3 linked regions of the Arabidopsis thaliana genome follow. The protein of the gene in region 2 interacts with the protein of the main gene of each other region in a pairwise test. Each region holds a gene or a part of one and is shown on either strand. Other genes may lie near its edges.

Region 1 (3,266 bases), on a different chromosome or scaffold from region 2:
TACCTCGAGAAAAATCCAAAACCAAAAAAGCTATTTGGAATCTTTAAAATCTTTTTACAAATTTCTTCTATTATAGTATTGCTTTGTTGTACTATATTTCACGACCTTTCATGAATATTTTAAATATAAATAGAAGTGGTAGGCGCATATCTTTTTATATTCAAAAGATTCATATCCAATGACACAACTAATCAATGTTCAACCGACCTTAGTAGCCAAGTTCCGTTATGGTCAATACGAGAGGTTGAAGAGTGATTAAGCTCAATTATACCAGATTTACCACAACGACTAATATCCTTCCTTATCTTCACTTTTGAACTCTACTTTGCAGACAATATATGCTCTCTGTCGTCAAAGCCCATAAGATATCTCACTAAAACGTTCAAACTCACTCTACGTATAAGATCATATACCACACGTAGACAAAAATTGAACCTACTCAGGCTGATCTTTGTTTCAAGTTTTATTTTTAACAAATTTATAAAGAAAATATACGACATGTATCTTAGTAACCATTGTGTAGAGATATATCAGATTGTGATTTGAAGAGGTGGTCCTGATGTTTGAAACACAACACTCTCAGCTTTAGGCAATAGTTTAACTAAGATGGATGGTAATTTTTACAAATAACATGCACGTACGATTTGTTTAACTATTTCTCGACAACCTAAACCAAATAGGATATAATATATGATCGTGTTAATTAAGTAAGATAATATATATATATATATATATATATATATATATATATGTACCAAATAACCTAAAATTTGATTGTTTTAGGGCTAATCGGCAGATTCTCTCATAACATCGTTGAGAAAAAAGGACACGGTGATTAAACATCATAAATTCGGAATATTACCTGATTAGGAGGCAAAAACGTTGGTTGATACACGTGCATTACCCAATCGGATTTGGATCCATTGATGTTTTCATACGATTGGAAAACCAAAACTTGTTTCTCACCAATTTTAACACCATTACTAGTTATCCACTTGCCAATGATTGGTGTGTTGGATACAGTTTCTTTCCAATAACCCGAATTCGTTTTCAATATTTCTTCGTTATATTCATCACAACTAAAGAAGAACCATACCATAGTATCAGCCCACTCGCTCTTTGATTTGGCTATAATAATTATTAAAAAAAAAAACCTAAATCAGAAATCAGCCTATAATCAATGATTGAATCAGAAAATCATGATCTAGCATTAATTGACCAAAACTTTCATGGCACATGCCAAGGATCGTAACTAGAGATTTTAACGGTGGTAATGAAATGATGATATTGCCTTCCTTGATGCCGAGATGTTTTAGCAGGAGGTAATATTCGATGATAACGTCATCTGTCGGCCGGAATCTGAAATCCGCCGGATATTTCATTCTTATCGAATAAACCCATAAAGTTAAAAACAATAGAGAGCGATGAAAAATGCAAAATAGGGTTTACAATTTTTATATGTAGGTAATTTAGAAAAACAAAATTCTTTTTTTTTGGGCAACATAAAAAAATTCCTTAATTCTGAAGAAGATATAACGAATAAGGTACGTAATTTGATGTATAATAAACGAAAGCAAAGTCTTTGAACGCCGAAACAGAGGAATTAACAAGAAACAGAATGAAAGTGATGTAGAAGAAAAAGAAAGATTACTAAAATTACATGATATAGGATAATGTAAACAAATAAACAATAGTCTAATGGGTTTTGGATTTAGCCATCAACATGACAACATGCACGTGTACATATATGATGTAGACTTGAAAGTCCAAAAAAAGACTCTTGACATTACTGAAATGAAGCATCTTAATTTGAAATTTATTCTTGTTTTCTTTCGTTGAATGGAATTTGTTTATGGGGTTAGGTAGGACTAGAATAGTACTTCGAGGTTGATTGATACTTGATAGGGTACGTCAAATAAAATTTGAGCATTTGGTTAGCTGTATGAGCAGAAATTATACAACTTTGTCTTCACAATGGAGCATACATACAAGATGAGAAAGTAACAAAACAAGATAGACATTATTATGTCAATGGATACAAATTTGTCTTCACAAATTTACCAGTTTTATACATATCACACATACAGTATGGTAAAGTTACAAACCAAGATAGACATCATAGCATACACTTGTACTGTTGTAAATAATTTGGAAAGTAGAAAAGGTGTTATTGATCACTTTTATTGTTATCAAGTTCTTGAGATGGAAGAACATAGGTGAATTTTCTTGACGAATTTTTGTATCATCCTGTGAAAGAAACCAGCTCTTTTCTTCTTGATCGTCTCTTGACCCAATTTATGCTCACCAATCTCAGTCCCTTGTGCATCATCATAAGGATTCTTCTTCTTCTCGGCGGTATCAATACTGGTTATTAGAGCTTGGCTCACCTTGAATCATAACAAAGAAACAAAGTCGTTGTAATGAGTGTTGGCACAAAGTAGCATCATTGATTGTTTGTGTTGTTAGTAGTGATGGCACAAAGTAGCATTAAGGATTGTTTGCCTCAGTGAAAGATAGAGAGATAAGAAAGCTCACCTCTTGAGTTAGTGACACTAAGTTGATTGTTGAGGTAGGAGATTCTTGCAGGTCTTTGATCTGGTCTATGCGATGATTTGAGCTACCAAAACTATCACAAGTGCTCGAAGTTTGAATAGAGTTCTGTCAAATGAATGAAACAAAAACTTGAGCTTTGTAAGGTGAAATACGAAAACAGAGGATTATAAAGGTACAAAAGTAGAAATTTGCTTACTGTTTTTGGAGTTAGCAAATCAGAATCATTATCATCACTGCTAACATCATCACTGAAGACACCAGTTAATGAGTTTGGAGGTCTGTAATCACTTCGATTATCATGCATAAACATGATACTCTTCTCCTTAGCATCATCAATATCATTCAACCATGTTTCCCATTCCTCAATCGGTATAGCATCCTCGATTTGAGCATCATCCTCATCATTCATCAGCCATTTTACCAATTCCTCGGTCAGTTTAGCATCCTCGATTGGAGCTTCTTGCAGCACATCACCAAACTGACTTGGATCTTCTCTGTGAAGTGAGGATCCCTGAAAAAGGGGGAGAACGCAAAAGAAGTCGTTGTCAGATTTAAAACAGAAAAGAAGTTTTGAGATGAACCCACCTCAGAATTGTTGACAAGCTGAGGGATTAAAGAGTCACGACGACTCTGCTCAATTCCACTAACACCAGAAGAAGAAGGAGAAGAGGAAGACTTCTCTCTCATGCCACCATTAAACATAACTTTACAGA
Region 2 (4,696 bases):
GGGATCCTAAGGTTGTTTTGTTGGAAGAACAGAGTTTGACTAAATCCCGAACCGGCTCCAAACGTAAAGCATGTTGTGTCATTAACGTCATTGAAGTAATGGACACAGAAGATAATGGATTCAAAGCAGGTTTAAGGGATTCGACTGTTCAAATTCCTAGGAAAGAGGGAGTTGTTGAAGTAGTAGATGTAGAAAATAGTGAGAATGAAGCTAGGATTGAAGCAAACAGTAGAGGAGGTGAATTATATGAAGTGGCTGTTCTATATAAGCAGAATGATGTGTTGATGGAAGAGTCGGGTAAAGAAGCAATGGAAACAAGCTCAATAGTGAGAAAAGCAAAACTGCGCAGAACATCTAACACAACGAAAGAAAATGTGGAAGTCACGAGTGAAGCATATAAAAAACTTTGGGAGTGCCAAACCGAAGCATGCAGCAATATCATTGCTCTAGAGTAAGCTCTGATCCCTTTTGTTGCCTGTTTTTCTATTCATCTTTGAATTAGCTTAATGATTTTCATGTTTCTCTTTGGGGTTGGAAAAATAGGAAAATGCTAAAACAGTGCAAAGAGAAAGACCAGCAGAACAAAGCTGTTTCAGAAATTGATGATGTTTCTCGTTTGCCTTTATCAATGGTGAGGACAAAAATCCCTGTTACGTCATGTCACTGATATGTTTTTGAGCTGATGAAAAACAGGTTCTGAATGTTTTTTTGTTGTCTCCTTTTCTTTATCCACAGGAAAGCTGCAGAGAACTGTGGAAGGCTGCCCAAAAGTTACAAAGCCAGCTCTCTGAGATCATCGATTCATGTGATGAAACCGTGGTTCCATATTCTGTATCTCCAGGATGTGAACTCGAAGGTATAAGCAAAGGATTATGCAAAGAGGATCCCAAAATGAAGACTCCTCGTGGGAATAATGGATCTGAAAAACCCTCCACACAGCTTGAACAGAAGGAAAGAGAGAAGTCTTCCAAAAAGAAACCTCAGGTCAAGAAAACGAGAATCAAAAGTCTCAGAGACATAGGAATAACAGCTGTGAGGAAATCGCCTCGATTCAGCTGATGATACTCATCAAAAAATGCTTCCGGAGAGCATGATATCTCATAAAGGTTAGGTTGTTATTTAATATCAGTATCTACATAAGTGCAACATCTTGAAGAATTTGAATATAAATTTTTAGTTTTCATATAAACTTCTCATGAAAGAACAAGAATGTGCCTGCTAATGAGACATTGATGCTAAAAGCTATTAACATTCTACAATCTTCTTTTACTACTAAGAGCCAGGGATGAGTTGAGATGAGACTCTTCTCTCTGGCACATCACAGTACTACTAGCAAACACCTTTTTTGGTCTCTTCCGTTTTTACCCCTGTGGAGCAAAACTCCAATTCAAGAATGGTTTCTGCTCAGGCGGATCCTGGAAGGAAGTGAAATAATCAGACTGATACAAGAACTGAGGGACAAAAGCGTCAGGCTGCAACAACTCCATGGAACTACCAAACATTGAAGTATCAAAAGCTTCCAAAGCATCCTCAAGCTCTCCCCATTTAGGCTCGCTCTGAACCTCCAAAACATCCGGTGACACCACGTGACCGTGACCACCTGAGCTGCTGGAATCATCCTCTTGCAATGTCGGGTAAGTCGAGTCTGATGTATCAAAAGGTGATGATGACTGTTCAGCCATTGTCGTGGTCCTCGGCTTCTCATCCGCGGGGAAATACTTCTCCATGGTTCCTTTCTTGTTGTATATTCGACATAAAACCCAATCATCAAGCTGTACAGCAAAACCCACCACAACAAAGTTAATAATCTAAATCATCATTCACGAAAAGATGATACATAAGTTAATAAGAAACAGAACTTACTCGTAGGTTGTTCTTTTTGTTAACAGAAGCTGATCTATCAACATTAGCGAGACGATACTCATGCATTATCCAATTGGTCTTAATCCCTTTTGGAGCTTTCCCTGCGTAGAAGACGAGTGCTTTCTTGATACCCAACGTCTTCGGTTTACCAATCGGTTTATCTGCTCCGGTAGCTTTCCAATAACCGGTTCCTGCTGCCCGGTTAGGACGCGAACCGTTTGGGTATTTCCGATCTCTAGGTGAGAAGAAGTACCACTCTTTCTCTCCGTACAGAGACATCTCTGAAAGAAGAACAAACATCTCAATAAACAACGATTCTCGAAGACACATGATTTCGCGAAAAATAATTAGAAGAAGCCCATAGGTGTACCTGGAAGCTCCCAAGGATTGAACTTGTAGAGATCAATCTCGGCGATAACCGGAGCCGAGATCTGCTCGGAAGCACATTTCCGGCACAAGTAGAATTTCACAAGCTCCTCGTCCGTTGGATGGAATCGGAACCCAGCTGGTAAATTTAGCTCCGACTTCATTCTCTTCTTCTTGTCTGTTGCTCTTGGAAAAATCTCTTCTTCGTTGGTTGAAAATTCAATTTCAGCTGGATCTGGATTTTTTTTGGGTTTTCTTCGTCTGCTCAAGATTGTAATCGAGGATATGTGAGTGAGGCGACGAAGGTTTTATAAGGACGAAAATCGCCGAAATGTTTTAATTAATTTAAATTGAAAAAACACAAAAAACAGAAAAGAGATGACACGAGGGGATTTTCAAGCACGTGCGGCAAAACAGACCGTTTTCTTTTCTACGCTGACCGCAGCCAGCTGGATATATACGTGGCGTAATATTATTGGATAGTCGACTTAGATGTTGTCATTGCTTGCGTCACTTAAACCTTTTGTGAATTGTTGACCGACTTTAGACCATCTCCATTGGGAAAGAGAGTGTAGAAAGTTTCTTACTTGAGAAACTTTGAGATACTTTACAACCCATCATGACAATTCTCATCTTACTATTGGTTCAATTTTTTAACAAAAATACTTTTTTAATTAAATAATTAAATTATAATATAATATTAATATTTTTTTTGTTTGAGAAATTTTGTGGATTTCTCGTAGATGGAAATGCCTTTATATGTCAAACCGTAATCTCCTGCTTCTCAGTGTAGCTTATCGCTTTTGTTCCTTTACTTACCACTAAGATTTACCACTAAGATTTAAAAAGAAAAATCTCAGCAGCCACTACTTTTTTATGATATTGAAATTGACACATTATTGTAACCTTGCTGAAGATAAGTCAGCATTTCTTGGGGCGGAAGTTGTAGTTTTGACTGGTGATTGGACAGTTTGATGAAACTACGGTGAGCATCTCCGCAGCTGATTAATTTCCTTCTTCAGGCGAAGCTTTGCGTCATGATGGATGACGTCATTTAAAGTTGCAATCGCCAATCATAGTCACTAATTATAAATACTCTCGACTAATAATACTACATTCACATAAATAAAAACATTGGAGTTCGCAAAGAAAGCGTTTGCGCTTTAGTTTGAGTTTCCCCGTTACATAAAAATATGTGTTAAGGACAACTATTTAACCACTAGCTTAATCCTTAATTAAGTACCCATTGAGCCGCTTTCATTACAGACTTAATTTATAATTCATAAGTTTGATTCACTAGCAAATAATGCCCATGAATCCTCTTCTATTTTAAAATCTTTAAATGTAAAGTTGAGGTAGGTGTGTATGCAAGCATGACGTGGGCTTGTTCCCCGTTTTATGATCATCATCACTTACGTTTTCTATCATATTATAAACTAATTATGATCGATTCAACGTAATGTTTTATAAGATCATGGTCTTTTCCTTTTACTATTAAAAGTCCCTTAGTAGCCAAATTAATTATAATACGAAATATTTGTGGTCAAACATGACTTTTTGTTGTTGTCAATAAGGATTCTTTATCGATATAAGAATGCAAGTTATATAAGTCGTATCATTTCATACACATCTTTTAGGCTTTTAGCTAAATAATTTTCGTGCACTGACGACTTCATTTTTTTCTGTCGTTTTAGATGATAACAGTCAAGTCTAGAATAAAAGATATGACCACTAATATTAAACCAAAAAAAGAAAACAAGAAAATATATAAAAGACATCGTAACGCATGATTTGTTCCTATTATAAAATTCAGATCAATTGGATCTGGACTTGATCTGAATTTTTATGATAAAGAGAGAAATCGACTTTATAGTTTTTTTGCAGTTGTTTGTTAATTTAGTCGCGGTGTGAATTGAAATAGGAAGCTTCGTGGAGCTTGATGTTATAGCTGCCGAACTTGACCCAAATTATGCAAATATAATGTTTTGGTGATGGATTATTACCTTTATGTTTTGTCGTTTCTAGAAATTTACATTGGAATATACTTGAGAATTTGGATAAGGAGGAGACAACTTGGGACCTCATTGTCGGAACTTAGAACCTATCGTTAACAACAATTAGTATCACATATACTACATACTATTCTCTATTCATATGACTACTTGTCTTATTCTTATGTGCGTGCGTATGACAAAAGTCTTACTATATAACATTCGTTTGAAACCGTGCATATATTGTAGTTAATTCTAGCATTTTAATTGGAATGTTTGAGTAGTGAATTATAAGTTTATGATAGATTTCTCCAACCTTCCGAGTTTCTAAATCGAATTTACTCAAAGCTCATACCTCTTATAATCGTGTGTAATAAACAACTTGCAAAGTTTCTTCAAAAACCAAACTACTTGCTAATTGCAAAAAAAAAAAATCAAATAAATACATCCATTTGTCACACCATTTTGTCCCTCTC
Region 3 (4,486 bases), on a different chromosome or scaffold from region 2:
ATTCAAATCATTTAATCGATCAATGATAATCAATAGAGTGATTACCTCGAATTCATTTGTTAGGATCTCACAGAGTTTCAAGAGAGACAAACATCATTCCATCAATGTTAATTGTTTTGACTTTTGAATTAAATTCATGAATTTTCAAGGTGTTGCCAACATTTTTATAAATGTATAAAGTTAATATATTATCCTTTGTAATTTGTATACTACTTCAGCATCTAGCAAATACTGTATAGTATTATTTAATAGAATCGAGTTTTATATATCCTCAATCTTACATGTGGGCTTTACATGTACAGACCAAATTCCAGGCCCAAAAATATATTTATATATTTAGGCCGATATGGGGCCCAATATGCTATCATGTTGATCAAATAAGATAAAACTCTAATATATATGCCAAGTTCAAATTTATATATTCATGTAACATTGGTATGTTATACCAAGACATAAATTAGTTAGCTCACTTAGGAAACATGACTTTTTTTCGAAGATAAAAGGCCGAGTGTTATCGTTGGTTCATGTATATCTTTATTGTTATGAATGTCTGTATAATTTTGAAGTGTTATAAAATTTCACAATGCTCCCATCTTCAAAATAGGGAGGACGATGAGTATCTCTCTCATTTTAAACTCCCAGTGGTAGGTTTTGCGTGTATATTACGCGGATTTGTTACTGAGAGTTTAAAATGGGAAAGACACTTAGGGGGAAAGCGAACTGAATAGTGGGTCGATGGTTGCCTTGCCATGGTTAACACTTAACACTATCCCTTCTTTCGTCAAAGGTCTATTGGTAAGATTACTTATTTTGTTTATGATGTCTATATTGAAATTGTAAACATGACCAAATTTTTTTTGTAAAAGTGAGATGAGTCAAACTCATTGGCAATTTAGTTTAAGAACAAACTTCATCGATTCACTTTATTACGGAACCAAATTCATCATCCTCTATCCCTTTGGAAACAATCCATTAAAACCATCCAAGACAACCCCCAAATCGGTTCAAATACAAATGAGTAATTACCACCAAAATACTTAGAAAAAACTTCCATATTTCAGAACCTTTGAATTTTATCAGCCTTAACCACAGGATTAGCTTTGGCAATCTCTCCACGTCCAACTTCTTTGAAATCAAAGCTGCAATCATGAGTCTCCGGGTACCGATGTTCGCCGCAGAAAGTGCTCCCGCATTTGCACTTAAACCCCATGATCCCAACCTTCTTGTTACAACACAAACACCGGTTGGTTCGTGCAGGTCTCGATGGCTCGTTCGCCTCAGGAACCGCCGAGGAAGATGGCTCGGCCGAGACAACAACAACTGCCGCCTTTTCGGGTTTGGGTTCCACAACAACAGCAGGAGGTTCTGCTATGAAGAGACTACGAGGAGGAGAAGGCTTGAAAGATTTTTCAACAGCAGCTTTAGCAACTGCTGTTTGAGCTTCCTCAGCACAAATGCCTCTGTAACATTTAGAACAGAGATCCATGTTTGATGGTGATCCAAAGAAACCACATCCTTTAACACATAGCTTTGGCTCTGAAGCTTGCGATTGCGTGAAGCTTGTGCTATCGTTTTGTTCCGATCCCATTCTTACTCTCTTGCTTTTCTTCTGTTACACCACATAAATTCAAATTAAAATTTTACCACTGCGATTATTGACAATATACACGACAAGAAGACAATAGATGAGATTAGTCAGACCAAAGATTCCTCAATGTCAGAGGATCTTTTAAGGTTGTCGGGTTTTTGAGGATTAGATCCATAACAAAAGTACAACTATATTATTGACACAGATCGATTTTGTTTTAGCTACGATAACAACAATTTCGTCATCAAATTATGCAATTAAAAAAGTAGATCTGAGTTTCCGAAACACAAATACTAAGATAACACAAGAATCTAATTCAGATCGGACAAGACACAGAATCAACTAAATCAATCAATCAATCAAAAATACACAAGACAAAGGAGATTGGGAATTTTTACCTGTAGAAAACGGAGATCTCTTTCTTCTGGCGATTTTAAAGAGAATTAACAAACAACGATTCACAGTTTGTGTTTGTTTCTGATCTTCGGAAGTAATCTTCGTTAGATGATTTGTTCTTAAATCGATAAGAATTGAGAACGACAAGTCTTTTTCGTTAATCGAGAACAACAAGAGAAAAATTAGAGAAAAACAGAAACACGTAACTATGGAGGAACATACATGTGTATATATTTATATGGTATGAGTCACGCTACGGTTTTCACTTTTTTTAAGTTGTGTTCTTCTACACCTCCTTATTGTACACTTTCGTAATCTTAACCGTGCGATTCTTTTGGCTGACCTAATCTGACGGTTATAATTTATCATCGAGCAGCTAAACGGAATAATAATGGCACTGTTTTGTAAAATTTCCAAAGTTATGAAGTCAGAACTGTACTTTCGTAGCTGACGTGTATATTTCCTTTATTTTTGAATTCTGACTTTCCATTTTTTTATTAATTGACATTTTTTATCCAGTTTGATCCAAAAAAAAATGATGTAGGTTTTTTTTTCCCATAATAGGAGTACAAACTAATAGGTAAAATTAACAAATTTAAATGTATAAATGGCCTTTGGGGTTGTTTAAGTAATGATTAAGATGGTATTATTGGTGGACTTTTGGGGAAGATAAAGATAAGATATGCCTTCTTCATCACGCCCTGGCTTGGTCTAAACACGATTAACGCGTTGTCAAGATTTAAGTGGAACTTGGTATCTTATTTTAATAATTCGAAAATTTTATTATTTTAAACTTATGTACTTACGTTCATTTTTTTTCTTCTTATTAAGATCCTAACCAGAAATAGCTCAACCACCCCACATTTTTGCTTATAGTTTTTAACTTCAAGAGATTCGGATTTAAAAAAAAAAAAAATTGTCGTACTGTCCCACGTAAAGATTCAATTTTGTGTGTGACAGATGTAAGTTATACACAATGATTTTCTTCAACTAACTAGATTGAGTTTGTTGGCATGTTTTACTATATATGGTCTCGATTTAAGATGATATAACAAAACAAGATAATTAGTTCAGATAATGTTAAACGTTCAATATCTGCATTTTGAGTTAAGATAATCTCAATATCTGCATTTTGATGTCTACTTTTATTTATAATTTTAGCCAAACTTGCCACACTGGGAAAAACGTTATCAGTTTTGGCACTTTCTTTCTTCTGTTTTCTTGATCTCATTTATACAAAAATGGAGAAGTTCTTATGATCACGTAACCAAAATTTATAATTTAATTCAAACTCTAGATTCTGGATAAGACTAAATCTGTGTAACTTGGGTTACTGATATAGGTTGAATGCACATGGATCTTCCTCATATAAAGACTATATAATATACTTAAATCGTTGACATAGAATCTCATAGAACTTTTCAAAGGGGAAAAGAATCTTAGTGATCCTCCAATTAATAATTCAATTATACTTTGCTCATATTGATCGGTTTAGCCATCATGGCTTTTCAGAGACTTCAATTTTGGATGACAACTTGTTGATCCGAAAGGCAGCAATGCAGAGAGTGATATTACCAAACACCGTTAGTGCTGCCTGAAGAGCGACCAACACCTGATAATGCAGTCCAACAATTACACCATTAAGTAGGAGTGAAGAAGCAAACGAAACATATCACAGACTTATAGCTAAAAGTTGGAGTCAAGAGTTTCTTGACCTCAAGAGATTCATCGTTGTAGAAGAAATGCCATGTGCATGCACAGAGAGCTCCACCAAGCAAAGGTACCTGATTAAGAACAACCAAAAAGCTCAGAAAAATGAAATCATGTAATCTAGGAAAACGGCTTAGAGCTTTCTCACCATTCCCCATGAGAGACCTTTCCAAGACTCATAACCCTTTCTTTCTCCATACTTCCATACCAATGCCATCGCCGTAATCCTTTAGTAAAAACAACACCAGAATTAGAAAGACATTACATTTTTCTTGTTTGTTAGCTCCAACTGCATTTCAAACCATAATGAGAGAAGCTTAATCTACATTGTGAGTGAAAGATCGAGACTTTATATGTAGATGAAGCTTCTCTCATAATGATATCAAAAACTCGAAAAACCCACAACATCAAATACTCTCTTGTGTCACTATAGATCAAATGTCAAATGTTTTCTAAGTGAGAATTTCAATCAATAAAGCAAAGGAAGAAGAAGAGAACCATTCGACAACGCTGGAAACATGAACGGCCCAAGTGGGTAAAGACAACGCATTGGACGGTTCGCTTAGCTGAAGAGAATCCACCACCGCCGCCAAAGCAGTAGCATCTGGTCCCGCCGTGATGAAAGCAGCCGCAACCAAACTGGTTCCGATAAGACCCGACAGCGCAACCGGGTCATGAATTAAACTGCGGCTTCGGATCCGAATTACAGGTTCGTTAGAGGTGGTGAGAGAAGAAGCTGGACGGCTCTCAGAATGAATTCGCCGGAAATTGGGTTTGGCGCAGCAGAAAAGA

The links. The genes of interacting proteins can lie anywhere in the genome.
Region 1: the proteins of ATAF2 (region 2) and AT1G02210 interact in a two-hybrid assay, tested with the Arabidopsis thaliana proteins (one large-scale study listed by BioGRID).
Region 3: the proteins of ATAF2 (region 2) and AT4G22820 interact in a two-hybrid assay, tested with the Arabidopsis thaliana proteins (one large-scale study listed by BioGRID).

What each region holds. Positions count from the first base shown.
Region 1 is NC_003070.9:426,713-429,978, forward strand, and holds AT1G02210 (NAC (No Apical Meristem) domain transcriptional regulator superfamily protein), read right to left. Parts: upstream 1,100-3,266; coding exon 836-1,099; downstream 1-835. Other genes in the region: NAC003 (NAC domain containing protein 3), read right to left, coding at 2,190-2,387, 2,536-2,658, 2,750-3,064, 3,139-3,266.
Region 2 is NC_003076.8:2,857,752-2,862,447, forward strand, and holds ATAF2 (NAC (No Apical Meristem) domain transcriptional regulator superfamily protein), read right to left. Parts: upstream 2,808-4,696; 5' UTR 2,394-2,807; coding exon 2,234-2,393; intron 2,145-2,233; coding exon 1,864-2,144; intron 1,773-1,863; coding exon 1,362-1,772; 3' UTR 1,098-1,361; downstream 1-1,097. Other genes in the region: AT5G08780 (winged-helix DNA-binding transcription factor family protein), read left to right, coding at 1-451, 544-631, 736-1,059.
Region 3 is NC_003075.7:11,986,814-11,991,299, forward strand, and holds AT4G22820 (A20/AN1-like zinc finger family protein), read right to left. Parts: upstream 2,275-4,486; 5' UTR 1,987-2,274; exon of another isoform or gene 1,610-1,986; 5' UTR 1,589-1,609; coding exon 1,058-1,588; 3' UTR 836-1,057; downstream 1-835. Other genes in the region: AT4G22830 (YCF49-like protein), read right to left, coding at 3,483-3,596, 3,700-3,768, 3,843-3,921, 4,193-4,430. UniProt on the Arabidopsis thaliana protein: May be involved in environmental stress response.